3 linked regions of the Diceros bicornis minor genome follow. The protein of the gene in region 1 purifies or fractionates together with the protein of each later gene. This does not show direct contact. Links are inferred from orthologs where the notes say so. Each region holds a gene or a part of one and is shown in the gene's direction. Other genes may lie near its edges. The genes, in order: RAB11A, EVI5 and WDR44.

What was found.
Region 2: the proteins of RAB11A (region 1) and EVI5 purify together in Homo sapiens (co-immunoprecipitation; 3 studies listed by BioGRID and IntAct, with this or other methods). This does not show direct contact. The link is inferred for Diceros bicornis minor from reciprocal best matches to the Homo sapiens genes RAB11A and EVI5.
Region 3: the proteins of RAB11A (region 1) and WDR44 purify together in Homo sapiens (affinity purification with mass spectrometry; 3 studies listed by BioGRID and IntAct, counting the BioPlex papers as one, with this or other methods). This does not show direct contact. The link is inferred for Diceros bicornis minor from reciprocal best matches to the Homo sapiens genes RAB11A and WDR44.

What each region holds. Positions count from the first base shown.
Region 1 is NC_080744.1:60,101,513-60,111,849, forward strand, and holds the start of RAB11A (ras-related protein Rab-11A), read left to right. Parts: upstream 1-5,846; 5' UTR 5,847-5,968; coding exon 5,969-6,008; intron 6,009-6,522; coding exon 6,523-6,633; intron 6,634-10,337. UniProt on the Homo sapiens protein: The small GTPases Rab are key regulators of intracellular membrane trafficking, from the formation of transport vesicles to their fusion with membranes.
Region 2 is NC_080743.1:28,963,274-28,973,660, reverse strand, and holds the start of EVI5 (ecotropic viral integration site 5 protein homolog), read left to right. Parts: upstream 1-6,275; 5' UTR 6,276-6,294; intron 6,295-10,387. UniProt on the Homo sapiens protein: Functions as a regulator of cell cycle progression by stabilizing the FBXO5 protein and promoting cyclin-A accumulation during interphase. May play a role in cytokinesis.
Region 3 is NC_080781.1:109,106,393-109,116,342, forward strand, and holds the start of WDR44 (WD repeat-containing protein 44), read left to right. Parts: upstream 1-5,202; 5' UTR 5,203-5,591; coding exon 5,592-5,668; intron 5,669-9,950. UniProt on the Homo sapiens protein: Downstream effector for Rab11 which regulates Rab11 intracellular membrane trafficking functions such as endocytic recycling, intracellular ciliogenesis and protein export.

The sequences.
Region 1 (10,337 bases):
AAAATTCTTTTCATTGTGAAATAAACCTAATATCATTACAAAAAAATGCATGAAACTGATATGTAGAGTTAACAAATAGTTATAAAGTGAATGACACTGTAAACATCCTTTTGGGTCAAGAAACAGAATGCTGAGGTCTGTTTACTTAACAAATAGGAACCACATATGGAAGTATTTTGTGTTGGGCTCTGCTTTACGGGATACTGAAGGGAGGTATGTCTGTCCTGGGCATTCTTTCTGAGGCCTAGGGAGTATATTCAGTCTTTCAAAAACGAGGTAGGATGGAGAGGTGATGTTCATGGGTATCCTACCCTTTTCCCGTCATAAGCCCTGGCCTGGCCTCTGGCTAACCCTTACTATTAACTCACGGTTCTCAACCTTGGCACTATTGATACTTTGGACCAGATAATTCTTTGTTGTGGGGGAGCTGTCCTGTGTATTGTAGGATGTTTAGCAGCATCCCTGGTCTCTACCCACTAGATGCCAGTAGCACCTTCCAGTTGTACACTAAAAAGGTCTCCAGACATTATCAAATTCCCTGGGGGAAAAGCTGACCCCTATTGAGACCCAATGCATTAACTGAACATTTACTATGTGCCAGGTATGATGCCAAGAGCTGCAAATATATTATTTCAGTCTTCACGTTTATCCCCATTTTGCAGATAAGGAACTGAGCTTCAGCAGGATTAGGTAAATTATGAAGATACAGCAAGTGAATGGCTGAGCTAGAGTTAAACACAGACCTATCAGTCTCCACGCTGTTTTAAACAACCATGTAAAGTTGCCTCCCAGGCTGTAGAGGATGGGATATATTCCAGATCTTGCTTCTTCTACATATTCTAAGGCTAAGACATTTCTAAATCTAAATTCCCAGGCTTTTTGCTGGATATTTCCTTTTGGTTTTCCTACTAACTGTTTAAATTAGACATGCCTGAAACTCAAGTCAACATTTTTGCTCTTTTTTTGCTTTTTCTCCTCACCTCCATTTTTCTAGTGATCTTTCTTCCAAATAGATATTAAACCTCAGATCTCTCTGATTCCTTTTGTATCTTCATAGGCAGAATCTCATATTTTTGTACATTCTGTCCAAATTCTATATTTCATTTCTGAAAAAAGTATTTTTAATGATTAGTAATGAAACCCAAACAAAACCCCAATATGAATCTTTTGGAACTTAAGAAGTTTACTCTAAGGTTCATCTGAAATAGAGTCCCTAAAAATAGTCAAAGTTTAGAAAGAAAAAACAGTGAGAGGGAATTGCCGTATTTATTTTTATTTATCAAAGGCAAATGGTTCCTACTATGTGTCAGGCACTATTCTAAGCACTATACAAATATTTACTCATTTAGTACCACATATGAGACATCAAAATGGACTACAAAGCTATAATAAGCAAAACAGTGTGACACTGGCATAGGAATAAAAAACTTGACCAATGGGACTGTATCAGAGTCAAGTCCTCTGGAAACAGATACCAGATGAATTGGAAGTGTAAGAGATTCATTTAGCAGGAATGCCTGTGATGGACAAAAGGGAGAAGTAGGGCCTTCAGACCACAAAGCAGGTCTAATAGCTATGCAAGGAGAGAGGAAAGGAAGGATTGGGTAGGAAGAGCGTCAGACTGTAATTGCATTCTGAGGAAATTTCGGCCAGGCCAGTGGAGAGCTCAAGAGCAAAGACTGCCTATTAGAAGAGCCCCAATCTGTACAGAAGTGGTCCAGCTCTAGAACCCCCACTGCACTCAGTCGTTGTCTGGGAACATTCCGGAGGGAGCATGGCTTCAGTGTGAACATTGTAGTGGATCTTGGAGGTGTGGTAGCTGGACACTGTCAGCCAACCACACAATAGGCACAATAGGCTCTCTCTTCAAAGGACATCTGAGCAGTGTTCCTCTGTCGTTGCCAGAGGTATGGTGCAAAGATTCAAGAACAGACTCGTTTATATATGTGAGATTCATTTATAAAAATTTAGGCATTTCAAATCAGTGGGAAAAAGATGGACTATTCAAGTACATATTGAAACAATTGGTTATCCATTTGGAAAGAATTAATTTAGATCCCTATTTCACAGCATCCTCAATATAAATAAAATCCAGATGGAGAAAAAAATTATAAAAATATTTTTTAAAAAAACATTTTTTGAATCATCTTAGTGTGGAGAAGCCTTCTTACCCAAAATGCAACAGCCAGAAGCCATAGAAGAAATGACTGAGAGGGATTTGAGTAAATAAAAATTTAAAACTTCTGTATGGACAAAAGCATCATTAATAAAATTAAAAATCAAGTGATTTACTTAGAGAAAATATTTGTGCCATATATAACAGGCAAAAGATTAAAAGGTAGAATATATAGAGATCCTCCCCATTAATAGGAAAAGATAAACAACCCAACAAGAAAACGGACAAGGATGTTGACAGGCAATTCACAGAAGAAATATAAACAGCCAATAAACATAGGAGAAAATGTTTACACTCACTGGTTATCAGAGAAGTGGAAATTATTAGGCACACCAGACGGGCAAAAATTAAATATATTGCTAGTATATTTTTATACTAGTATATAAAATATTGCAGAGTAGCTGGGAAAATGAATATTCAGCTTGTCCAGCCTCTAATGGGGAAATGGGCAAGGAAGAAACAGCTTAGGAATAGGTTTTAATTTAGCAACCCTCAGTATCTGCCAGGTCCATGGGTAAGGGAATGGGAATGCTTGTACAAACTATGGTACATCATTGTTAAGGAAAACTATGCAACAAATGAGTTAAACCTGTATGGACTGATGTGGAAAGATTTTTCAAGGTGAGAAATGGTACATATAACGTGATTTTATTAAAAGAAAACGGAGCAGTTATCTCTGGGGTTGGAGGAGGAATTGAAGTGGAGACTTTAAGGATTTACTCTATATTTCTGCATTAAAGTAATTTACATTAAGTACCTATATTTCTTGAGAGATTAAAAAGAGATATATCAAGGAATTACTACTCATTTTCCCCAAAGAATGTAAAACCCTAATTCTCTTCTTTGTCCGTGGAATCCATTTACCATTTTTTCCACAATAGCCTTTGCTTTTTCTTTCTTCTTTAGTCCCTTAGCTATACCCCATTTCTATTAGTTTGTGCCCGGTTAATTGCAATAGCCTTCTAACTGATATCCACACCTCCAGTCTCTTCACCCGAGTCCTGCAGTCCACAGCCAGCTTAATTTTCCTAAGACAAGGTTTACTTCAATCACTTCTCCACAGATCTTTTATGGCTTCCCCAAAGTGTTTAGAGGGGTGCTAACAGGTGTTCCTTGGGAAAAGAGTTCTGGGGTCTGGTGAATCTGGGAAATGCTGTGTTCTACACAGTTAAAAAAAGATTTCTTCAGAGTGGAATATCTAGACTTTAAAATGCCAGTGTGCTAAGGGAACCTCTAAGGTGGGGAGACAGTGTGTAGTTCTTCTCAATTTATTTGACCATGCAATCCTTTGGAGGAACACTACTGACCTTCTCAGGACACACGTTGAGAAACAATGACTTAAGGGGAAAAGTTATAATTATTCTTCCGGCATTAATGGCCTTGCTCAACATGTTCTTATCATCTAATTTCCTCCACTTCCGAAAATGAGTTTCCTTCCTTGCTTCTTCCTTCAGGGGTCAATGCTAGTTCCTCCTCCGGGGAGTTCTTCATAACTATCTCAGTCTCTGAACTGTGGCACTTATCACCAGAACTCTCATTAGTTACTCCTTCAGAACTGTCTAGTTATTGACAGTCCCCTTTTCTTGGGCCCATCTTGTCTACCCACCTGAGCAGTGCCAGGACTGTGTTTTATACATAATCTGTAGTACACATAATATTTAGCTGCGTGAGTAATATTGTGCATCTCCCCCAACGTGGATAATGCTCACCCCTGCACAAGGCAGTATTTAGACCTTAGATAAACCTTCTATTGCTTTATACTGTGAGAAAAAGCCCTGAAAATGGCACTGTATTAGTTTTCTATTGCTGCTGTAACAAATAACTATAAACTTGGTGACTTAAAACAACAAAATTTATTATTTTATAGTTCAGTAGGTCATAAGTCTGACATGGGTTTCACTGGGCTAAAATCAAGGTGTCAGCAGAGCTCTCTTTCTTCTGGGGGCCTTAGGGAAGAATCCATTTCCTTGCCTTTTTGTTTTTTTGTGAGGAAGATCAGCCCTGAGCTAACATCCACGCCAATCCTCCTCTTTTTGCTGAGGAATACTGGCCCTGAGCTAACATCTATTGCCAATCCTCCTCTTTTTTTTCCCCCTTTTCTCCCCAAAGCCCCAGTAGATAGTTGTACGTCATAGTTGCACATCCCTCTAGTTGCTGTATGTGGGACACCGCCTCAGCATGGCCCGACAAGCAGTGCGTCGGTGTGCCCAGGGGCCGCCAGTAGCAGAGCACACGCACTTAACCGTTAAGCCACGGGGCCGGCCCCTACTTGCCTTTTCCATCTTCTAGAAGCCTCTGCATGCCTAGGCTCCTGGCCTCCTTCCTCCATCTTCAAAGCCACAAGGGCTGATTGAAGCCCTCTCACACCACTTGACTCTGACCTCCTCTGCCTCCCTTTCCCACTTTTAAGGACCCTTGTGACAACATTAGGCCCACCTGGAGAATCCAGGATAATCTCCCTATTTTAAAGTCAGTTGATTTGCAACCTTAATTCCATCTGCAAACTTAATTCCCCTTCGCCATGTAACCTAACACATTCACAGTTCCTAGGGATTTGGAAGTGGACATCTTTGAGGAGCCATTATTCTGATTACTACAGGCACCCTTACCCAAAAGCCTGAATTGTGGGTTTGCATATTGGTGGTAGGGGGTGTGACAATAAATGGGAAAAGCTTTTTGGAATGACAAAACTCTCTTCAAAGACAGGGATGCCCTGCTGCGTGATCTCTGGCAAATCACTTGAGTCTCAGTATCTACATTTTTGCTAAAATGGAAATTGCCATCCTTTGCTCTGCGTGTTAAATGAAATAATTATGTAAACGCGTTTGGCTTAGAGGATGACAAATAGGGCTCAAGAAGTTCTTGAATCTTGATGAGGAGGAGGGTGGGCGAAGTTCTCTAAATGACATCTGGAAATAGTTTGAGAGATTTCCGGAGAAAAGGAGTGAGTGAAAAGCGCCTGCCCTGGAGTAAAGTCGGAGGTTGAAAATTCTAGCAAAATAAATCCAGTTTCATGAAGCTTTTGAATTAAGTTTGAGGCAGAGGGCCCAGGTTAAAAAAACGGCAAAGTGAAGAGGCTCCTTAGGAGCCATCAGGTGACATAGTACAGAATCGAAGGGGGTAATCTGTCAGCTCTTCGCAGGCAAAAATTATATTTGTGAAATTCCCTCCCTATTTAGTTCAAGGCCATCTATACTGTAGCTGTACAACAATCACTAAGTGAACAAATGAATTTATAGTGTGGTCAGGAAAAAAAGCGAACAGCGCAGGTTCCACCGAGATTTGAACTCGGATCGCTGGATTCAGAGTCCAGAGTGCTAACCATTACACCATGGAACCGCTACGCAAAGACACCCGCCTTCGGCTCCCTAATCCTTTATGAACCCCGCCCCCATCCACAAACCCACCACACCGCGGTAGAGCCGAAGCGCTCCCCAGCGCCCCGCTTCCCGGCGTGGCGGAGCGGGGAATGAGGAAGAGGCCGCTAAGAGTGCGGTCAGCTAGGAGTCCAGGGTTTAGTTTCCCCCATGAGCCTCCTTGAGGGGGTGAGAATTTGAAGATCGACGCGATGCTTCCGCCCACCGCCCTTCCTGGGCTCAGGGGCGGGGCGCCACCTCCCCGGAAGTACTTCTCCTAAGGGGTTGGGGCCTGCCGGAAGTGGCGTAGCGGCAGGGAGGGGTTCTTTACCCGGTCCGGCAGCTGAAGCTCGGCGCTCGGGTGGCCCCTGCAGCGACGCCCCCTGGTCCCACCGATACCACTGCTGCTCCCACCCCTTCCCTCTTCGGCCGCGCCATGGGCACCCGCGACGACGAGTACGACTACCTCTTCAAAGGTGAGGCCACAGGCTCGCCCACTCTCCACCCAGTCCCCTTTCGGGGGCCCGGGACACTCCCGGGGGACCCGCGTGCGGGCCACCCCTGCTCTGAAATCGGCCTTCCTCAGTCCTTCCTCTCCCTGCGGTTTGTCCTTAGGTCTCTCGGCTCAGCCCCCTTTCCTCCTCTCGGACAGGGGTCCTCACCACACACCGGTCTCTTCGCGACTTCCCCGCAGGCCTTCTGTAGCCTCAGGGCCCCTCACCGAGTGTCCTTCTGCCAAATCGTCTTCTTCCTTTCCCGGTTTCTGTCGTCCCTTTGGAGGGGCCGCCCCTCCCACCGTCTGTCTTTTCGGGTCTGCTGCCCCTCCCCCTCGGTATACACCCTTCCTAGCTGCTCCCCTCCCCGAGCCCCTCTGACAGGCCCTTCCCTCCGCTCCCCAGCTTTCCCTCGGCGCAGACTCCCACTTCAGGTCTTTTTCTTATCCGCCGCCCTTTCCCCTCGAGCGAGCCTCTGCTCTGCCTGTCTTCACAGCCCCTCTTCTCCGACGGACGCGCCTGCTAGCCGTAGTCTTCCGTCGCGGGGCCGGGCCCGGGTTAAAATCTGAGCGGGCCAGAGGCCCCCACCCGCCCCACCGTACTCGCGGTCAGTAACCTTCTCGCACTGCCCCCGGGGTTGGTAGCTCTTTCCCCTCTACCTTCCCTCCCCACATGGTTTAGAGCTCCGCACGTCTCCTGTGCGACCCCGAGGGTGGGGGGTAGGGTTGGAGGGATTGGCCATCACCCACCCGCGCACTTGTCGCAGTGACCCGGCCTACTGATGTGACTTCCCACCTAGTCTTTTTTCTCCCACCCTCCCCACCCAGCGGTAGCCAGCCCGGGATAACTCTTGACTCTGCTCGCGAGAAGGGGTTGCGGATGGGTGGTGGCTGTTATCCTTGCCAGACCTGAAGGCCCAGTTCCTGAGCAGGAAAGGTTGTGCGCTGCACAAATACTAGCCTGCTTTATCACTATGGACTGGTTGCTTCCTGCTGCAACACTGGGAGGATCCAACCTTTTGGTGTTTTTAGAACGGGAAAGGAAGAGTCCTAGTTAGCCTTATGCCTTTCCCAAAAGGTGGGGGTCAGGGGGGAAGTTTTATGCTCTTTGGTCAAATTAAATATTTATTATAAAGTAGGGAAACATGTAGTGCCCTTGGACAAAACATATTGGAGGATGGGGGGTGAATAGAAAGAATTGCTTGTAGGTTAGGTCCGGAAAGAATCCAAATAGTTTTTTTTTTTTTAATCAACAAAGATAAAGAGTACAGTAAATGCTTTTTTTGTTCTGTGAATGCGCTCTCACTCTGATGCTCTTTCTCTATTCCTGAATTAGGAGGGCAGCCATCAGTAGTATGCTGAACAAAGATCATTACCAGGGAGGAAGAAGCCATTGCTATTGAAGCTTTACATTGGAGGGTGGAGTTTAAAAAGAGTGTTAAGCATGGTGATTGTTTCTGACTTTGCCATTGGGTCATAAGAATGATTGACTAAACAAAGCAGGACACATATCTTTGCTTTACCAGTACTTTGCAAATCTTAGCTGAAGATATACCCTTATCACCACTTACTGCTCTGGGCTAGAATATTCTCTTATACAAGGTGAGTATCTTCAATATCCACCCCCACCTCCCATAGTGAAAAGTTCTTTACAGAGGAGGGGGTACTTAATGCATTTTACAGATACAAAAAGGAAACATGGCTTACTTTGCATACTGTTTGCTGAAGGCCTCTGAGGTCAGGTGAAATTACTTAGTGAGACCCTGGAGACTAGGGTTTAGTCATTAAAGGGAGATTTTTTTTTTTTTTTAAATAAGGTACGGTGGCAAGTGACAGCTAGCTATCTTTGAAGTAATTTAGAACACGATAGACTATCAGAGTATTTCTCCTGTTTGGTTTGGAACTTGAATGTTGGTTATAGAAGCCATTTATTTTTTTCACTAAGATTATTAATTGTCCTGGATTGATTTAAGGAATTTTAATTTATCTTTGGGATTAGACCATCCTAACTAATTGAGAGTACAGGGCTTTGGAATCACAGAGGCCTGGATTCAAATCCTGACTCAGGTCTTAAATTTGCTTTGTAACCTTGGGAAAGTTAACTTTTTAAACTTCAGTTCCCTATCTATAAAAAGGAAATAATACCTACCTCTCCAGACTGTTGTGAGGGGTAAATGAGACTGGCTGTAAAATTTTAGCTTCTGTGAGGACTCAATAAATGGTAATAATATGAAAGAGATTATTCTGGTTCTTGTCAGTTTTTTTTACCTTAAATCTTGATAAATGTAAGAACATTTAAGTGTTAGTAAAGAAACTTAGAACTAGGAACTTCTGAAGTATTTTATATTTCCATGAGTTATGGTTTCATCTTGTTGTACATTTTGCAGTTTAAGATAGGGTGTTTAAAAAATTCTGCTGAGGAGGATTTCCACTTTTTTAAAGCTCTTACAGGATATGAGTCACTTTGTTTTTTACTCAGTGCTGATTATTTAGCCAATTTCTTATTTATACAGTTCTCATAATTTAAAGCGAAGCAACAATAATTTCATTTTCAAATGGTTTCATTCTACAGAGATTTATTCACCAAGATGAGCTGGAGCTCTCTTGGAAGAAGGCTTACCTAGCAAACTTAATAGTTGAGGGAATTGGAAGTTAGTTTGTAACTCTAACTAGTTGCAAATGAAAAGATATTTTGATTAGTATAGGATGGAGTAGTCCAAGCAGGAATGTAATGTGGGGAGAGCAGGACAATTATTCTAAATTATGTTTTTGTTCTTGAACATTAATCTTTAGTTAAGCTCAACAGTGAGTAACTTCTGGTCGGGAGGAGTTAATTTTATTTTTTAAAACCTGACTTTTTATTTTAAAAACTTTAATTCTCGGGGCCGGCCCGGTGGCGCAAGCGGTTAAGTGCGCGCGCTCCGCTGCGGCGGCCCGGGGTTCGCTGGTTCGGATCCCGGGCGCGCACCGAAGTACTGCTTGGTAAGCCATGCTGTGGTGGCGTCCCATATAAAGTGGAGGAAGATAGGCACCGATGTTAGCCCAGGGCCGTCTTCCTCAGCAAAAAAAGAGGAGGATTGGCGGATGTTAGCTCAGGGCTGATCTCCTCACAAAAAAAAAAAAAAAAAAAACTTTAATTCTACAGGTATTTACGCACAATGTGGTTAAGGCCCTGTGGGACACATAAGTGAAGTAAGCACCAATTATAGTTCGTATTTACAGATATTGTGGTAGACACCAATCAGACACCAATCAGAATCACATTTTCTGAAAATATCTGGATACATAATCTACACCATTTTCTTTTCAGTCTCCTTGAAGGTCAGTAGTAATTAACCATCAGCTGATTGTCAGTGGAAACAATGGTAGGAACTTTGCTGTATTGCATCTTGGTAGTTTTTCTTTCACAACTTTTGGTTGAGCAACTTACATTCTGCTGAATCTGGAAAAACTTGACTTCAGCCGTATTGAATGCATTTTATTTTAAAGACTCTTGGTGGTGGTGTACAATGCCTATAGTTAGGAGTAGAAACATCTCCAAGTTTATTTATAAAAACGGGTATGTAAATTATCAGTTATTCCTTCAGGTGATAACTTTTAGGTCTGATGTACTATGATTGATTTGTTGAATTAAATTTTAGTCCATGCATTAGTTTGCAAGAGAGTGTAAAAAACTAAATGTGGTTGAAGAGGTGGAAATTTTTATTAAATAATGCTTAATTAATATGTATATTCTGTTTTTACGGCATTTAGTAGCCTAATATTTGATATATAATGAACCAAATTTAGTATTAGGTATTAGAGATGATAACGTAAGATTCAGCAGATGAAGTTTACCAAGTGGTAATAAATATCAGATTACTTTAGAAAGGCAGTAGATGTTTCATATATAGATGCTGTTATTTAATTTATACCCACACACACATATATATAATATAGATGGCTGTAGTTATAAAATGTTTAAAATAGAAGATAGTAGTTATGGAAAACATGGAAAAGTCACTGCAAATTCCTTTCTTGAACTGTAGGATGTGATTATATAGTTTGTCACATTTTTAAAAAGCAATTAAATATTGTTATTTTAGTGAGAGAAGCTATTTTGATTGGAAATTAAGTTTGAGTCCATGAACTTTTGGTTTTTTGGTTTGTTTTTTAAATCATAGCCAATAAATTCTCTTGCTTAGGTAGTTTAATCCATTCTAGTTTAGTTTTTTAGTGATCCTAAATGTCACCCTTCTTGGTTTGGTTTCTCATTCAGTAACTGAATAGAAGCAGCTTTCCTTATTGTGTCATTTCTCAGCATCATCTTGGC
Region 2 (10,387 bases), on another chromosome or scaffold:
GATAATAGAATTCTATACTATAGTTGTAGGTTTACATCAAGAGATGAAAATCTTATATGCTGAAATGAGCACAAGTTAGGATCCAGAACTAGTAAAGTTTCCCCAAAACTTATACTGAATTACAAACAAAGATAAAATGTTCTTTTCCACCCTCCCCCCTATTATTACAGAATTAGTAATGTCAGGGTAGGGAAGACACTATCAGGGCTTTCTGTGCAACAATAAACAAGAAAAGTAAATTTACAAATTGAATAGATTTTAGTTCTAATAAGTTTTATATTGGTCTAATTTAAATGAGGTAATTAAATCTTTTACAGCTTTTATTTGTGAATACAGCATTTATTGTTATTATTATTTTGTATGTGTTTAATTTCTCATTTTCAATATATGCTCCAGGAGATCAGGGATTTTGTCTATTTTGTTCACTATTGTATTCTCAGTACTTAACCTTGCCTGGCACGAAACAGGTGTAGGATAAATATTTGTTGAATGAATGAATGAATGAACATAGTGATGCCATCCTCAACGATTCTCCAAGTATTACATGTCACTATCTAAAATATAAGATGAAGCTGGTGTGGAGCAGAGCCACAGTCTCAACCTGCCATGGAAGGAAATGTAAGTGAAAAATAAATCTTTGTTGGTGTAAGCTGCCAAGATTTTGGGGCTTTTGTTACTGCAGCATAACCTAGGAAAAGCCCAATGATACAGGATATACAACGATACGCATATACAATGATATGCACATACAGAAGATAGCCCAATAGAAGAGATTCCAAAGAATTAGTTCAATAAGCATTGACTGAATACACCTGCACACTCTTCATTCCCTAACAGAAAGAATGGAATTCTTGTTCACTAAGACAAGCCTCAAATATCACTTACTTTGTGAAAACTTCCCTGACTACCCCACTATTATTTAGGACTCTTGATTGCACATGACAGAAACTTGACTCTAACTAGCTCCTCACCACCTCTCAACCTGCTCTACACCCCTCAGTCTTTCCTGTCTTAGTAAATGGCAACTCCATCCTTCTAGTTGATCAGCCCCCAAATCTGGAGTCATCTTTGATTTCTCTCTTTTATCACATGGCCAATCTGAAGACAAATCGTGTTGGCTGAAAATATATCCATATTTGATCACTTCTCACCACTTGCATTCCCCGCACTAGTCCAAATGGTCATCATCTCTCAACAACTTCTGACTGGTCTCCCCGTTTCCACCTTTCCCTAGAGTCAGTTCACTGCACAGCAGCCAATTGATGTTTTTAAACATAAAACATGAGTCAGATCATGTCACTCCGCTTATCCATCCCACTTAGAGTAAAAGCCAAAGTGCTAAAGATGGCCTGTAGGGTCTCCCACGTCATCTGGTTCTGTTTTTTCTCTAATTTCATATCCTAGATTTTCTATCTTGCTCACGCCATTCTAACCACACCATCAGCCTCTCAGCTGTTCCTTGGGTATACCAAGCACATTCCTGCCTTGAAGATGTGTACTTGCTTTTCTCTCTGCCTAGAATGCACTTTGCCAGATGGTTTACTCTCTCACCACCTTCTTTGTGAGGTCTTCCCTGCCTATTTAAAATTGTAATAACCCTTCTCCACTCCACCCTTTCTCCTTCCCTGTTTCAGTTTTCTCCACATACTTACACCATCTCATATACTATATATATACATATTTTGTTATTTGTGTGTTAAATTTATTATTGCAACTAAGTCAAATCAAGATTCTCTTTCTCCTCATTCTCTATTCTTCTCTTACAAGATGATCTAATATCCCAGGAGGCTTTCTTTTCTTTTTTTTTATTGTGGAAGAATATACATAACATGAAATTTACCATTTTAATCATTTTTAGGTGTATACTTCAGTGACATTGAGTACATTCACAATATTGTATAACCCTCACCCTATCTAGTTCCAAAACCATTTCATCACCCCAGACAAAAACTCTGTACCCATTTAGCAATAATTCCTTGTTTCCTCCTCCACTGAACCCTAGTAGCCTCTATTCTACTTTCTATCTCTGTGAATATGACTACTCTAGATACAAGTGGAATCATGCAATATTTGTTCTTTTATGTCTGGCTTATTTCACTTAGCATAATATTTTAAAGATTCATCACGTTGTAGCATGCATCAGAACTTTGTTCCTCTTTATGGCTGAATAATATTCAGTTATAAGGATATGCCATACTTTGTTTATCTATTAATTTGTTGATAGACACTTGGGTTGTTTCTCCTTTTGTCTATTGCAGATAGTGCTGCTATGAACATTGGTATATCTGTTTGAGTTCCTGTTTTGAATTCCTTTAAGTAGCTTGGAGTAGAATTGCAGGGTCATAGGGTAATTCTATTTTTAACTTTTTGCGGAACTGCCAACTGTTTTCCACGGGGGCTGTATCAGTTTACGTTCCCACCAGCAATGCACAAGAGTCCCAATTTCTCCACATCTTCACCAATATTTGTAATTTTCAACATTTGTTTTTTTTCACAATAAGCATCATAGTGGGTGTGAGGTGGTATTTCATTGTGGTTTGATTTGCATTTTCCTAATGACTAATAATATTGTTCGTCTTCTCACATGCTGTTGTATATCTTCTTTGGAGAAACGCCTATTCAAGTCCTTTGCCCATTTTTTAATTGGCTTATTTGTTTTTTTGTTGAGTTGTAGCAGTTCTTTATATAGTCTAGATATTAATCTTTTATCAGATGTATGATTTGAAAACATTTTCTCCTATTCCATGGATTATTTTTTAATACTTTTGATAGCATCCTTTGATGCATAAATATTTTTAACTTTGGTCAAGGTCAATTTATGTATTTTTTTCTTTTGTTGCCTGTGTTTTTGGTGTTGTATTGAAGAAATCACTGGCAAATCCAATGCCATAAAGATTTTACGCTAAATTTTATGAGTTTTATAGTTTCAGGGGCCAGCCCCTGGTGTAGCGGTTAAGTGCATGCTCTCTGTTGCTGGTGGCCCAGGTTCGGATCCCCGGCCCACACCGATGCACCGCTTGTCAGGCCATGCTGTGGTGGCGTCCCACATAAAGTGGAGGAAAATCTGCATGGATGTTAGCTCAGAGCCAGTCTTCCTCAGCAAAAAGAGGAGGATTGGCATGGATGTTAGCTCAGGGCTGATCTTCCTCACACACACAAAAAAAGAGTTTTATAGTTTCAGCTCTTAAGTTTAAGTCTTTGATTCATTTTGGATTAATTTTTGTATGTGGTGTAAGTTAAGGGTCCAACTGCATTCTTTTGCATGTGACTATTCAGTTTTCCTACTATATTTTTTACTTGCAGCACATATCTATTTATCGTCTGTTTTCTTCCACCAGAATTTAAGCTCCCTCAGGGCAGAGGTTTATGTCTGTTTTTGTCGCTGATATATTGTATTAATTATCTATTGCTATTGCTATTTACTGCTATTTGTGGTAAAAAAAAAATGACCCCCAAATTTAGTGCCTTATCAACAATAAACATTTATTACCTCTTACAGTTTCTATGTGTCAGGAATTTGGGAGCAGCTTGCTGACTGCTCCTGGCTTGGGGTTTCTCGTAGATTCAGTCAGAGGTAGGCCAGGACTGAAGTCATCTGAAGACTTTACTGGGGCTGAAGGTTCCACTTCCACACTGGCTTATTGACATGGCTGTCAAGTTCGTTCTAGAAGCTGATGGGAGGCCTTAGATTTTTTTCTTGGCAGAGCTGCTCACACACAGTGGCTGCCTTCCTCCAAAGCATCCAGTCTAAGAGAACAAGGTGAAAGCTACAGTGTCCTAATGACCCAGTCTCAGAGGTTATACTCTGTTGTCTTTGCCATATTTTATTGGTCACATAGACCAGCCCTTATTCAATGTGGGAGAGACTATACTAGGGCATGAAGAACAGGCATCAAGAATCACTGGGGGCCAGATTAGAGGATGGCTACCACATGTATCTATCCCTAGTGCTCAGAACGGTGCCTGGTAAAATAACCTGGTATAAGTATTATATTATATATAAGTTAGATATATATGTATATGTTCAAAAAATATTTGATGAGTGAATGAATCACTTGAAGGTTATTGGTGCAGTCAGAGCATTAAAGAAAGATCAGAACAGGGGCGGGCCCATGGCATAGCAGTTAATTGCACATGCTCCACTGCTGGCAGCCATGTTCGGATCCTGGGTGCGCACGATGCACTGCTTGTCAGGCCATGCTGTGGTGGCATCCCACATAAAGTGGAGGACGACTGGCACGGATGTTAGCTCAGGGCCAGTCTTCCTCAGCAAAAAGAGGATTGGCAACAGATGTTAGCTCAGGGATGATCTTCCTCACACACAAAAAAAGAAAGATCAGAACAACAGAGGCAGGGTCAGCCCCGTGGCTTAGCAGTTAAGTGCGCGCACTCCGCTACTGGCAGCCCAAGTTCGGATCCCGGGCGCACACCGATGCACTGCTTCTCCAGCCATGCTGAGGCCGCCTCCCACATACAGCAACTAGAAGGATGTGCAACTATGACATACAACTATCTACTGGGGCTTTGGGGAAAAAAAGGAGGAGGATTGGCAATAGATGTTAGCTCAGAGCCGGTCTTCCTCAGCAAAAAAGAGAAGGATTAGCGTGGATGTTAGCTCAGGGCTGATCTTCCTCAAAAAAAAAAAAAAGAACAACAGAGGCTTAGGAAAGGCAGGATTGGTTGGAATCAGGAATTCTAATATCTTCAGGATGGACTTCATCTCATTTTCACTTCTCTAAGTATCACCAGGTTCTCTGGGTTCTCATCTTTAGAGCTTCATAATGAGAGGTCAAAGGGCCTTTACTTTTTCAACTCTGGTTTGAAAAATAAGGGGCAGGACTCTCTCAGACCTACCCCCTTGACCCAGTAGTATTGTCAGGTCGTTAAGGTAATGTGATTAGCTTAGCTTGAGTCAGGTGTCTACATTTAATAACAGAAGATGGAAGAGGGTGTGGAGAGATAAAAATAGTACAACTCACTCAGCCAGGTTAGGTACTCCCCATTCTATATGTTCTCACCATATCATATCTCCATATAATAGAATGTATCGTTATTGTCCATTTATTTGTTCACATGTCTGTCCTCTACACCAGACTATACATTCTTACGGTAGAGCCTGAAAACAGGTACGACATTTTGCTAACTCCAAATAACATGGGCTTTGTAGTCAAGAGAGACTTAGGCATGTATTTTGCTTTTCCTACTATCGTTGTGACTTTGCACCAGCCATAGCTCCCCATCTTTTAAATGGAGGGCCTAATAATGGCTGGCTCATGTGGAAGCACGGAACGTTATTGCTGACATGTTGTAGAAGCTGAAAATGTTAGTTCTTGTCCTTCCTCTTGGGAAAGTGCCTGACACAATTGTATGCCCTTATGTTTGTGAATGAATGAATGAGTAAATAAATGAAGCATTCTCAGTGATTTGCTTGGAGTTCACTTGTAAATGAAGATAACAATAGGGTTATAGTGAAGATTAAGTAAGATGATAGATAAAAAGTACTTCGATAGCCCAGATCATGGTAAGTACTCTAAAAAATAAGCTATCATCATTAGAGAGGCAATCATTTAAAAGTAACATATTACATCAGATATTTTTCAAGAGAATGGAGGAAGCGGCTTTTTCTCTATTCAGATCTCTCTCTCAAGGTACATCTCTTGCTTCTGTATTTCATAGTAAACTCTCAATTAATGGCCCTGAGTAACAAAATTGCAATATCCATTAACAGAACACAATAGCGTGCAGGATTCCAAAACCTCAGCTAAAGAGTAAAAAAATAACCAAAAAGGTAAGTCTTACCAAATTAATAATTGTGTCTAGTGTCAAATCCCAAGAGCTGAAACCACCTAATATACAGAAGCTTCTAGCCAATGCCTCAGAGTCAGCACCTCAAACACAATAACAGTTAATATACAGTTGTCATTCTGAGACAAATTGAGTCATTGAAGGAAGGAAGGAAACAGGAAGAAAGGAAGGGAGGGAGGGAGAGGGGGAGAAAGGAAGAAAAAGTGTAAGAAAAACTAAAACAATTAGCCGTCACAAGACCAAAAAGCTTTAGTTACTGCATTCCTAGTCCTCCACATTCCCAGCTTTCCCTAAGGGTACCAACTCACAACTGTATAGGATGGAACTGAAAGGGTGTTTAATGGGTGGATCCCAGTGGCAATGTCGTTGTAAACACTCCCTATGAGTCAGCTATAAATTCAATTCAAATCCCCAGTATCCCTGTCTTCTCTGCTTATCATGGTTACCATCAAAATGACTGCTGCCTTTAGAAACCCTAATGGGAAACAGGTAAATGTCTAAAACAATGTTTGATTTTATATTAAAACTTATAAAAACGTAATTGCTGCAACAGGAAATATTTTGTCATTGAGTTGGGATTTGTATACTTTGCTTAATCTTCAAAATAGAAACAGCTTGTTAACATTTCTTCAGTTTTATTTTAAGAATGTTATCTCATTGTATTGTGGCCATTCAAGTGATGAACGAGAATTTACGAAGTGTTAGGTTTAATTCCACACCTGTAAGAAAGCCATTTTAGTAACTGGCTTTTTGTAATTCAACACTGTTTCTCTCCTTGCTGTAATTGGCTGCTGGTTATCTCTTTTGAATGTACATTCTCAGAGGAGAGCTGGTGTGTCTGTATGGGCTTTAAACTTCTCACGTGGAGAAAAGATTAGCTGAGGAAAATGACTGGTTATCATAGTACTATTTGTTCACAAATTCTATTTGGTGGCGATGTTGATGGTTGCGTGGCCTCTCAGAGATAACTTCAGCAGTGGTTTTTCCCAGTCGTGTTTAGAAGCACAGTTCCTAATACAAGCTAAATTAATTTTACTGTAAAGCAACACCTTCCTAACATAGTTTCCTCATCTTTTTATGGTGGAGGTGGGGGGCAGGGTGCTAATTAACATTAGCTAAAGTTTGTACTTGACTTCACTGTTATTAGACCATTTTCACATGAAACAACACATCTTTCAACACATCTATCATTGGTGACTCTTATCTTTATTTGCCTGATGAAGAAGCTGAAGTTTACAGAGGTTCAAGGCTAGACAACTAGCAGGTGGTAGAGCCAGGATTTTTCTAATTCAGCACCTTTTTTGGTCTATCTTTTAATTTTGCACGTTGGTGCTTTGTGGCTTTGGATATTAACAATTACAATAGGTACCACTGTTGAATGCTTATTATGTGCCTTGCGTATATTATTTCATTTAATTGTGACTTCAGTGCTTAGGTAGATATTATTATTATTATCTCCAGCTCATGGATGAGAAGATTGGGGCTCAAAGAAAATAAGCATACTATTGGCAAGTACACCTGAAATTTTAGGCTATAATCTAGTCACCTGCATTAATATAGAGATTACTAATTCCCAGATAATTGGAAAGTTTAAGTGGAATTACTACTCTAGTTGTACCAAATTTTACTTTGCTTTAAAACAGATATTTCAGGAAGTTAAGAAAAGAATGGACTTCTCCTTTTGGTGGGTGGGGTAGAAATTGGCACTCTATTGATGTCTCATTTTGGTGGTGCAGTTTCAAAAGCTGTTGTTGGGTTGATGGTGTGAATGTCTAATATCACATATAGAAATGATGTCCCAACTCTAGAGCCAGAGAGCTGGTTCTTTACCACGACCATGCCAGATCTAGTCTCGACCTGTGCACAAGTGCCAAGAGATGGCAATAAAATTGTGTGTCTCTTAACAATGTTCTTTCCTAAGATAATGTGTCTTGCAAAGAATGGAATGTGGTGGAGGTGAAGTGGTTATAAGAAGAAAGCCGTTCTTACAACCTTGATAAATAGAGAGGCCACAGCTTTTGTGCTTGAGTGCCTTTTGGATTCGTGTTGTGGAAAGCAAATGAGCCAAATGAAATAGGCTTTCACTACTTCATTGTGAGCTTTCATTGTGAGTGTGAGGTGTTGTTCACCAGTGGGTTTGACTCCACTGGTGAGCTCCTCCTCTGTACCCTGGTATTTTTTCCTCTCAGGGAATGCCTCCCTGGCTTTTCCTTTCTATGAGCAATGAGGCTCACATGGCTGTCTTATAAAACACCTCAGGCAGTTGAGAGCATGGTGTTCTGAGATTTAACTGTTGCCAGGTTTAGACGGGATGAAATTCAGACCCTCCTTTTGTTCCCCTCCCGGACAGCGACACAAATCAATGCTAAGCGTGTGCAGCATTAGAACATAGAAAACTTCGAATTGCTATCTGAATTTACCTCAAATTAAACTGACCCTGAGGAGGGGCCACTGCCCACCGCACCATGCTTCCTTTATCTCCCACTCTAGTTTCAGACTCCAGAGTGTGAAGAGCAGAGTGGCAGACGCTGGAGCAGAGGTGGTGTTGGTGTGGAATTCACACAGTGGAATTTCACTTACGCAAGTGCGCAAGCACTTGTGAGAGGTTAGAATTAGCTACTTCTCTGGTTAGATTTAGCTATTTCAGTGAAAAGTTAAAGTGTAAGCTTTTTCATCAGATAAATTGATATGCTTAGGGTGAGTGAAGGAAAGGGGTCAAGCAGGGATAGTGCTGGAGGGTCAGAGCTAATGGTACAAGCCTCTCTCCTCAGGCCTGGGATCTCATTTGAGATAATACATCTCAGGCGCTTAGCACAGCAGTAGTGATTATTTATATTATATATATATATATAAATAATATATTTATATATAAAATACATATATAAATAATATATTTATATATAAAATACATATATAAATATATATGTATATAATTTGTACTAATAAAATCACTCTTTATCATTCGTTCAAAATACATTGAATAGCTACTATGCAAAGTGCTGGGGCTATTGAGAAGCCTAAAACAAAATATGATTACAATCATCGCGAAGCTCTTGATCTAGTAGGTAAATAATATGCATAAGCCAAAAATTTACAATTTTAGAGAAGTACTATAAGGCCTAGAGTTTAACCACTTCTGGCATTAGGCTGACTGGGTTCAAAGCCGTGCTCCACTATTTTCCAACTGTATAAATAGGGGCAAGTTACTTGGTATTTACTAAGTCTCAGTTTTCTCATAAGCAAGGGGGTTATGATAATAATACCTACTTGAGGGCCAGCCCCGTGGCGTATTGGTTAAGTGTGTGCACTCTGCTGCTCGTGGCCCGGGTTCGGATCCCGGGTGCACACCAACGCACCGCTTGTCAGGCCATGCTATGGCGGCGTCCCACATAAAGTGGAGGAAGATGGGCAGATGTTAGCTCAGGGCCAGTCTTCCTCCATAAAAAGAGGAGGATTGGCATGGATGTTAGCTCAGTGCTGAGCTTGCTCACACACACAAAAATAATAATAATACCTACTTCACGAGGTGAGTATGAGGATTACAAGAAATAGTGTATGTACAGCTCTTAGCCAATACCTGAACACAGTGAGTGCTCAACCATGTGTTAACTTATTTTCAAAATAATAATGCTGTCACTATTTTTTAAAATTTATTTTTATATATTTTTAGGTAAAATTTACATTAATTGAAATGTTAACTATATATATATTTTTATAATTTATTTATTTATTTATTTTTCCCCCCAAAGCCCCAGTAGATAGTTGTATGTCATAGCTGCACATCCTTCTAGTTGCTGTATGTGGGACGCAGCCTCAGCATGGCCGGAGAAGCGGTGCGTCGGGGCGCGCCCCTGGTCGAACCGGGCTGCCAGCAGCGGAGCGCGTGCACTTAACTGCTAAGCCACAGGGCCGGCCCTTAACTATATATTTTTTGATGAAATGAAGACATCTCTGTAACTCACACCCCTATCAAGATAGAGACCATTGTTATTACTCAGAAACTTCTCTCATGTACCTTCCCAGTCAATCCTCTGCCAGAGGCCACTACTTATGATTTTTTTCACCACAGATTAGTTTTGCCTTATCTAGAATTTCAAATAAATAGAATCACACAGTATGCACTCTTTTGTCATTTATTTATTTTCAAATACGTAATACATTCACAGGGTTTGAAATTGAAAAGGTACAAAAGGGCAGGCAGTCAAAAGTCTCTTTCCTTGTCCTCCAGTCACTCAATCTTCCTTCCTTGAAGCAACCAATGTTATTAGTTTCATGTGGACCCATCCCATAGCTATCATTATTAACTTTGGGGTTTATACAAGGTGCTTTGAGAATTCAGTTTTAAAGGTTACCCAAAGATTCTTGTGAGAACCCAGCTAAAACAATATAAAATCAGTTTTAAAATAACGGAGTTCTTTTTAGACGCTTATTCCAAATGTCACATCGTGACATTTTACCTTTCTACGACTTAGGTAACCTTTAAGCCACATCTAGTTCAAGTTCTAGCATTCTATGATTCTCATTCATTAACTAAACAAATATGTATTGAACAAATACGGAAATATAACCATGAACCAAACAA
Region 3 (9,950 bases), on another chromosome or scaffold:
AGGACTCACAGCCATACACTATATTGGGAATGAATTTCCGGTCTTAATTTTGTATGTAAGTCTACCTTGTATATGATACAAGTGTATGATACAAGTGTACTTGTATATGATTGGTTATATATCTTCTTTTACTATTTTCCCCTTGTTTACAAAGTAATACATATTCACTATAGAAAATTCAATCACTATATAAAGATACAAATAAGGCACAAATCTCTTTTTTTTTTTTTTAAGATTTTATTTATTTATTTTTTCCCCCCAAAGCCCCAGTAGATAGTTGTGTGTCATAGCTGCACATCCTTCTAGCTGCTGTATGTGGGACGCCGCCTCAGCATGGCCAGAGAAGCAGTGCGTCGGTGCGAGCCCGGGATCCGAACCCGGGTCACCAGCAGTGGAGCGCGCTCACTTAACCACTAAGCCACGGGGCCGGCCCCACAAACCTCTTATAATTATTTTAATCAGTAACCAAAGACAATCACCATCAATCATTTGTGAACATTCTTCCAGAATTCTCTATGCTTATATACATATATAGATACATAGATAAATGATTTTACAGAAATGGGATTATTCCACATGCAGTATTTTGTAACATCTGTTTTCATTTAACACATCATGAGCTCTTGTCATGTCAATGAATATCGAAACTGAACCCTTAATAACTTATGGTGAGCACATTGTTCCTGTCTGCTACTAACACTTTCTTAGAAAAAAATATCCACTGCATACTCTACCTGGTCCTAGTGAAGGAGATAAGCACAGTAGTCTTTCCCCACATGGTGTGTGGCAGGGAATCAGCTGACCCAGGCCTGACAAATTAGAATTCTCTATGCCTTTAGCTAGAGGGATTTCCTAAGACCAATCAACATCGTTCTTGAGATTTAATATATGAACACTGGGAGAGAGAAAGTCTCACTTCCTTTGGGATTGAGAATTATTAAGACATTATAAACTGAAATTGCTTGCAGCCATCTTTGTTGACTAGAAGAGGAAGCTATCTGCAAGAGGAAGATTGAAGCCAAAGCACAAAAAGCAGCAGAGATAAGTAAAGATGAGAGATGGACAGGAAGATAGAGTATTGATGTATCTGGGACCCTGGATCCAGCCATGCCTGAAGCTACTTCATCTGGACCACAGTTGGTGCTGCTATAAGGGGACATACGCTTTCCTAAAAATCAATGCACTATGCAAAATTGTTCAATAAAAACCACAGGGTTTATGGGGAAAACGGGGCTAGGAGTACAACACTCAAAAACTTTGTCAGTGACACACACAAAAAGATATGAACCTAATAAAAATGGTAGCACAGTTTTACACATGTTAAATAGTTAAGAAATACATAAATACTACAATAAATATGGTGCTTTATTTTGAAAAAGACTTGAAGTTTGCTTATGGAAATAGGTATCAGAGAGGTTGCAGCTTGGGAGTTATTGTGAAGTGGTGGACGGAGGGTCAGCTGAAATCAGAGGAAAAGTAATACCAGAGGTAGATGGGTGTGGCTCAAAACACACACAAGGAAATGAGGTAGCTGGTAGATGTTTGGGGTATGTATGTGTGTATTTTGTGTATTCCTATGCGACTTGATTCAGCTGGGCGTAGTTTTCTGCTTTCACCTAATGTTTCTGGCTGATAAAATCACACATAAGCAAACGCAAAATTCACCTTATGCTCAAATTGTTCTCTAATATATTAATCACAAAGGAACAGACAAGTGTCATAGCAATCTGTATTTGATTATGCAAACAAATAAACTCCCTTTTTTTGTTTAAGATAATTCCAGTTAGCTTTCTTCCAGAGTTCTGAACAGTAATACATGGCTACATAATATTCCATTACACATTTTAAATCCCAGGCTGGCTTTTCTGTCTCTCTTAACACATTTCTAGACTATCTTTGTCTACTTTCAGTTCTTGTGTGCTCAGAGATTAATAATTCATTTTAATATTAACATAAACCATTATTAAGAAGGTAAGGTGGACTTGAAAAAGATATAAAGATTTCAAAGCCAAAGAGAAATGATTTTTTTGAATATTTACTATTATAACCTGTAACACAACTGACCTTTCAAACAGATAATTAAGGGTTGATGATTATAGAATTTTATCTTGGCTCGGAGAAATTTTGGCCAGTTTCAGAATGATTTTTTCATAGATTCTGATACTTCAAAATCCATAAAAACCCTCACAGAGATTGCAATATTAAATCTTTTCATGTCAATATTGTATCTTCAAATCACCTAACCTTGTAGATAAAAGTTTTTCCCTGAGTTATCACGTTAGCTCTTGTTTGTAACAAAAGCCTACATGCATTACACACGTTACAAATGATTACACTTGGGGTTGGAGCGAAATTGGCCCCAAGGATACTACCAGTTTGTATTATTCTCGCCAAGAGGAGAGAGCAAGCATCCCACAGACAAGTTGTTCCATACAGTGGCTGTAACCTCAAGCCTTTGGAATTCCTAAGGAGAGTTTATGCTACGCAGATAAGGAAGCATAAAAAGTTTCCCTAAACTTACCTTAGCCTTAGACCTGTGTAGTTTTTAAAATCATTGGGACTGAGCCAGGTGGAAAAAGGTTTTATCTTCATTTTCATCTATATGTATGATTTTGCTGCATTATATAATTCTGTTGTGAAACTGATTCAAGCAACCATTTAATTTGAGTATACTTTCAGTTCTGGGGTACCCTAGAAATAGCATCCTACGGACCAAGAGTCAGCAAAATTTTTCTGTAAAGAGCCTGATGGTAAATATTTTAGGCTTTGCAGACTGTAGAGTCTATGTCCCAACTACTCAACTCTGCCCTGAGAGCAGACATGTGCAATACATAAACGAATAAGCCTGGCTACGTTCCAATGAAACTTTATTTACGAAAACAGACGGCAGGACAGATTCATCCAACGTACCATAATTTGCCAACCCCTGCTTTGGACTAGTAGTTTTCAATTTTTTTTTTTTAAATGGAACCTTGGTGTAGTCTCTGGAGACTCAGGGAAGGCCAAACAGGCAGGGACCTGAACTATTCCTGCTTCAACTAGAGCAGTTTTTATTTTTACGATATGTGGACTTTTGCATGAAATTAGGTTTGATTAAAGGGTTCCATTTCTAATAAGGAGAAAAACTTCAAACTCACTGTCTTGGACTAAACCTAAAACCTGCTGCTTTAAAACTCAACAACAGATGTTACAGGCAAAACAAACACATCTTTTGACATCTTTAAAAATGATAGGTGGTACCCACATGTTTTGACATTCTCAGAAATTCACTTTCTCATACAATTGATAAAAGCATTTAAATAGACAACTTTAATAGCTCTAAAAATGTTTTCATCTTATCACTCCTATTCCATTTTGACTTTTTCTAAGTATAATGTTTAAGGTACCTTAAAAGGTCCAAGAGAGGTGGTATGGTATAGCGAAAAAAAGCATCCAACTAGGACTCCATATTTGTCTCCATTGCCAGATCGTGAGCTCCTTCCAGGAAGACAGGAACTAAGTTGTCGTCTTCATCTTTGAATTGTCCTCAGCACCTAGAACAGTACATTATACCAAACTTTAATTTTTAAGGCAAACATAAATTCATTATTAGATAACTAGGAAGAGAATAAATTCAGGTAGTTTGTTTACTTACATCTTTCCATAACATAAGGAAAAAAGCATATCTTTCCTAGTGAGCAACAAAATAACAGGTTAGTACTTTGAGATACATTTTTATGCCTAGAAAATTAACATGTTTAAAACACATAAAAGCTAATAATTACTAGATTGTGACAAAAGTCATATCCTCACAAAGATCCACAAATCTCTTGTCCACAGTTCTGAAATCCAAAAAGCTCTGGAAACTAAGAATTTTGGTTTGTTTAGCAATCTATTTGACAGTCAAATTGATCTAACTTAAACTTACTTGTCAGTAGTATCTGACCTGAACTGAATGAGGCTATTTACTGATATTTATTTACGCCGTATGAATAATCATACGGTTTGCTGCAAAAATAGTACCTTATTTGATTATGCCGTGTTTTCCCTGAACTCCCTCGGGTGTTACAGAATATACAGTATATGGCATTTGGTTTTACACAAGTCCACCAGACAACACCACATCTTTTCCTGGTTGCTTTACAAGGAGGAATCTAGAGCCCCATTCCAGCGTCTCTGAGGCCATGCCCCTGGTCCCAATCCTTCTTTTCCGCCGCCATTTCGAGCAATAGTTGAGGCTGCGCTAACAGCTCAGAGAGCCTGCCTGTCATGACGTCAGTGGGAAAAATAAATGTGCTTTGCGATCATATAGAAAATCAATGTTATCACTTTCATGCTCAATGACCCGTTATTTAAGAAAGAACATCTTGGTCTTTTAAAAAGTACCTTTCTATTTTCATCACTGGACTTCGGGCAGTCGAGGATCAGAATTAAGTTACTAGCTCTTAGCCTTGCAACGGTGTCTTCTCAATATACATTTACCATCTGACTGACGCACATCTTGGCCAGCATGTACGGATTTTTCTCACATTAAGCGTGGGCAACAGATATTTGCAGAGAAAAAGTAACCAGAGGCCCTATGCTGGCTCAGCTCCAGCAGCATATCCATTATTACTTCATGGAACTGGCATACTCCCACGTATCTCTCACCGACCCCACCCTCTGGCCGGCAGGACCGTATTTAGGGATCTCAATTAGAGATCTTGTTATAAATAGGGCGGTTTACTCTTGTAACGCTAGAGGTGGTAGACCTGCCTACGCCCTAGGGTGGGATATTCCGGGCTTTGATAAGTGAGGTCGACGTAAACGCAAAGCACAATGCCAACGTTTTTTCCGACAGCATTTTCTCGCAAGTAAAAAGCACACTCAAAATCACCCCTCTGAAAAAGCCTCTCTTTGGAAGCGCAGAGTTAGGCGGGTACGACGCTCTGCCGGACCCCACCAACATCAGCAGCCGCCCCTCGGCGCCCGGGCACCACGCCGCTCCTGCGCAGGTCCTAAACTCCTCCCTTCAGGAGGCTCATCCCCACACTTCTCGACTACTTCCGGCTCTCACCTAATGCCCTCAACGCGCTTGCGCCGTTTTGATAGGCTTCTCGAGTAGAAGAAATCGGAGCGCTGCCTCTCTGGGGCCGCCCCCGCCTCCTCTTCGCCCCGCCCACGCCCTACCGTCCCCTCTGGAAATCTCGCGAGGGTAGGTGCGCGTCCGTATTTTGCGGGCAACCAGCTCTCCCAGCTGCTGTAATTGCTGCTGCGGGAGAAATTGGAGCTGCTGTCGTCGGCGCGCCCGCCCTCCCCCACTGAGGAGAGCCACCGCCTCTTCTCTCGCTCTCCCTGTACACCTATCGCCGGGAGCGGCGGCAGCAACAGTCTTTGGACCCACCGCCGCCTCCTCAGGCGGCCGCTCTGCCGGTCATTCTCGCAGCCCGGCAGCCGACGGCGGCCCCCTGCCCCTAACCGGCTCCTCACTCCAGATCATCTGCTCCCTTCTCATCCTCGCCCGGCACCCACCTCCCCACGGTCTCGCTGGTGAGGAGGACGACGAGGAGGAGACCAGAGTCACCCTCTCTCCAGGCGACGCCGGCCCCCTCACCCGCGGGTGTGTCCTATAAATGGCGTCGGAAAGCGACACCGAGGAATTCTTTGATGCCCCTGAAGATGTGCACCTAGGGGGCGGCTACCCTGTAGGGTGAGTAACTGTAGCTATGGCCCAGAAGCCGGGCGTCCCGGTCCCCCGGCTACCCCCGTGCCTTCTCCCCACACCCCTCCCCGGTCCCGCTGTGTCCGCCGCCGCTGCTCCTCTCAGTCTCACTCGGGCACTTCAGAGGGAGTCGGGGGAGGGGGAGTCGCCCACCTCGGGCACATCCCCTCCTTTCCCTGGTGAACGGCCCCAGCGGCTCTCTCGGAGCCCCTTTCTCGTCTTGTCCAGCTTCTGCGAGGTGGGACAGCTTAGGTGCCTGAGAGCCGGCGATTTGTATTTGTGGGGTTCAGAGCTTACCTTTGAAACATCCGTTTTGGCCTTGGGGACCGTAGATTAAAGGAGCAGTAACAGGAGAAATTACATTTCGCATCTCTTTCTTTCTTTTGCCGCTGACTTACCTGTTCGTTTCAAAGGGAGCTGTAACTCTCCCTATTCGCCGTCCTCTTCGCTGCACAGAAAGAAGAGGAGCGGGAGAAAGGTTGCGTGTTTACTTGGGAAAGTCCTCTAGCTGATGTACCTCTAGATCAAAAGGGTTTTATTAAAATAGCACCTTACCGTGAGGCAAAGGAAATCGAAGACAAGGTCCTTTACCATTAGGAAGAACGCGGTCTTAAAAGGGTAGCCGGACATAAACGTACACAACCGACTACAGGGATACAAACAAGTGCTGAGTAATCTGGTGGTTGGAAGGAGAGCCACAGCTTTGTGCTCTTTATCTAATTCTGCAAGATGTTTTAGTGGTGATTAATCTGGGAGATTCTGAGTAGGAAGTCCAGTAGTTGGAGTGCTTCGCTTGACTGAGACTTCTGCTTACCCACTCCTCCACTTTTCAAAGTTGAAATAATGTTTAAAGCAATTTCACCGAACTCTTCTAGACTTGTGTGGAACTAGAGGCAGTGAAATATATTTTCATGCTATAAGAACTAGAGAAGTGGTAAAATTTGTATGTTAATGTAAGTCCCTAATATGGTTCCAGGAGTCAGCTGCCTTCAGTTTTCAAGCTTACCCGGTAGAAGAAATACCTTGTTTGATGTAAATAAAGTTATCTGTACTTTCTAGAAGTCGTTATAAAACCTAATATATATTATATATAATATATACCAAAAAAGTGGCAGCAACAAAGTCGAAAGAAATGTACTTTGGTAGATGGCTGATGTGTGTGTGTTTCCACCAACCTTCATGTCACCATTATGGGATTTTGAGTGACGCTGGCCAATCTTGAGATGGCACTGAATCTCCTTCAAGTTCAGTATCTGACACAAGTTCATAGCTAGATGGTAGAGGATAGAAAATACATTTGGATTTCCAAATACTTTGGAGTCCCTTGAAATTAAATTTTGTTTTTGTGGTTTTCCCCTCAAAGTAATCAACTGTCAGTTTAGGTTGAAATAAGGCCTAATCCTTTAGTACTTTGGTGTGTGTGTATGCGAAGGAGGGGAGGAAAATAGCAATGGATGTATATGATTTTAATCAATTTAGAACTATGTGAATATTGTTCCTTTTCAATGAATAAAGCAAATTTAATTTTTAAGGACAGTTATATCAGGACCTGTGTAAACTGCCTAGTCCATTACCTGGCACAGAGAAAGAACTCAAATGTTCATTCTCTTCTGACTTCTTTTCCTGCAAATTTAGCTTCACACAGTGCTTACTTTGGGAGGAAGTATGCAGAACTTGGAGCTATTTAACTTATCTAAACTGAATGAGTCATTTTGATAGAATTGATAGAGTCACTTCTTCTCTCACGGGACAATATAGCTTCTCAAGCACTTTGATCCTTTGATACTTGGTGAAAAGTAAAAATGTCTCTTGGGACCCAGCATTCTAATTTTAACTCTGACCTGCCCAAATATTGAGCATTTTGAGCTCTGTGGTTAAAACTGTTATGTCAGTCTGTGAATTTCATGGCTCTATCCTGTATTAGTGAGGGGATTTGGAAGAGAATTAGACTCATCTGGAGAACTGCATCTGAAAAGAACTAGCAGTACTGGGAGGACAGCAAAAGGTTGGCATCATTAACATTTTCTCTGTCCTTTGTGACAAGTTTTGTCATTTGCATAAGGTACTGTGAGGAGGCTTGGCTGGGTAACTAACAACCTAGAAATGCAATGAGAATTCTTGATTTGTGGAAACAGATGGTGTCACTAGATATCTGGTCATCAGAAATATCTTCTGTCCCTTGATATGAACTGGAGTAGTGGCATACCATACAAACTCTAAGATTAACAGACTGAGTTTGGGCACTTCAAGAAATGTTCCTTGCTATTGCATGTTCTAGAGTACACAGACCATTTCACCAAATTGTAGTAAGCTGAGTAGGCAGTTGCGAGTTATCTGGTGTGTTTTGTTAATTAGCAGAATCCACATACACAATCCCTTTCCTAAAATTGATTTCTTCTATTTCCACTCCACTGGTGTCTTCAGCTTTGTTATTCTACTCTTTGAAAGCAAATTTAATAAGTTAAAAATCAGCCCAGTTTTTTAATAGAAAGACTTTTGATTCCAATGCAGCCTACTTTTCCACAGTGGCAGATCATCTCCGCGTGCCCAGCTCTGCAATATACACCATATTTATAATGCTTTATTTTGATTGATATTTTAGGTCAGGTTTCCTTATTCTTATCTCTCTTTTTACGTATGAGAGACCTTAGACTCAAAGAAGTTAATGAACTGGCCTAGGAGACACAGCTTGTAAGCTACCGAGCTGGGATTTGAAACCAGTTCTTCAGACTCCTAGTCCAGTATTTTTTCCTAGTACATCATAGCTGCCCCAGACTGTGTGGGTGTGGGTGTGTGTGTGTAGAGGGTATTCCCCTCTAAGAGATTCTGGAGTAAAACGCTTTAGGACCAACTTGTTGAATTGAACTGATGCGTCTATTTAAAACCAGCAGCCCAAACTTTTCAGTTCTCTTGGCTAGAAATTCCCACTTTCTCTTTCAGGAATACGTATTTTGTTTGTCAGATAGGAATTTTATTAGATCATAGCGTGTTACAGCTAGAAGGGACATCTAGTTAAACTCCTTCATATAAAATGTGAAAACCATAGCCTGGAGAGGGAAAGTGACTTGTCCAAGGTGCCACGGCAAATTAATGTCAGAGTTAGGACTAGAATCCAGATCACTTTCACAGTCTGGTGTTCTTTTTGCTACCGTGCTGTCTTTTGATAAAGCAGGAAAGCAGGAGGAAGTGTGGTATAGTAGAAAAAAGCCTGGGCTATGAGTCATTTCATTTCCTCATCTTTAAATTGAGGAGATTACACTCTGAGAACCTTTCCAACTCTAAAAGTCTGTCCTTGTGTTGAGATTTAATAGTGTGCTTTTACTGAAAAGCTTTTGTTCTTGGGAAATCTTTCCATGATCTTTTTTTTTTTTAGTTTAACAAACTTGATTGTATTGGGTACATGATTCAAGACCCATAGATTTGAAATTAGATATTTACTGGGTAAATTATATATGAGATAAATACTCCTACTGGTTTGTGTGGATTATACATACACATACTAAAGGCTGGCACTGAGAACATGTTATAAAAATAAACGTGACATTTTGAGCATTCTTTATTTTAAAATTTTTTGTGTGGCAACCAAAATATTTTTGAGGCCTTGGAAGGAAAGATAGAATGGTAACGTTTTTAGAGTAGGAAGGGACCGGAGATTGTAGCCCAGCCCTCCCATTTAACTGAAAGAGAAACCTAGGCTCAGAGAGGGGAAGTGACATATTGCTGATTAGTGGCAGACTCGGAACTAGAACCCAAGTCTCCTGATTCCTCGTTTATAGTGTGCTGCCTTGTCTGTGGAAGGAGGGAAAGTATTGCCTGGCATCCTGCTCTAGGTTTCTGGCACTTACCCTGTTAGTGGGGCTCCTAAGATGGTCTCCTCCTATCAGCCGTGATTCTGTTTCTTCATGGAATGCTCTCAGAGGCCCTTGACTGTTCTAGGATCCTAACTTTTGCCCACAAATTTTCTCCCAAGTCAGGATGAAAAACAGTGGCAGAATAGCTGATCTAAGAACAGTGGTTGTTACTCGTTTTATTTTATTTTTAGGAGTCTAGTTAGTGTCAACCACAGTCTATCATTTTAGGTTGGAGTAATGGTGAAATCTTGATTTTTAAGTCATGACAACAGAGATCAAATTGTCCCGAAGAATTGTTCAGTCTGAAAAACAAAAAATTGCATGGCTGCCTTTGTTGCAGCTCAGCTTATCATTTTATTTAGGCATCAGAAACATTTCTCTCTGAATTGAAAATTGATATGTTTCAGTAAAAAAATTTC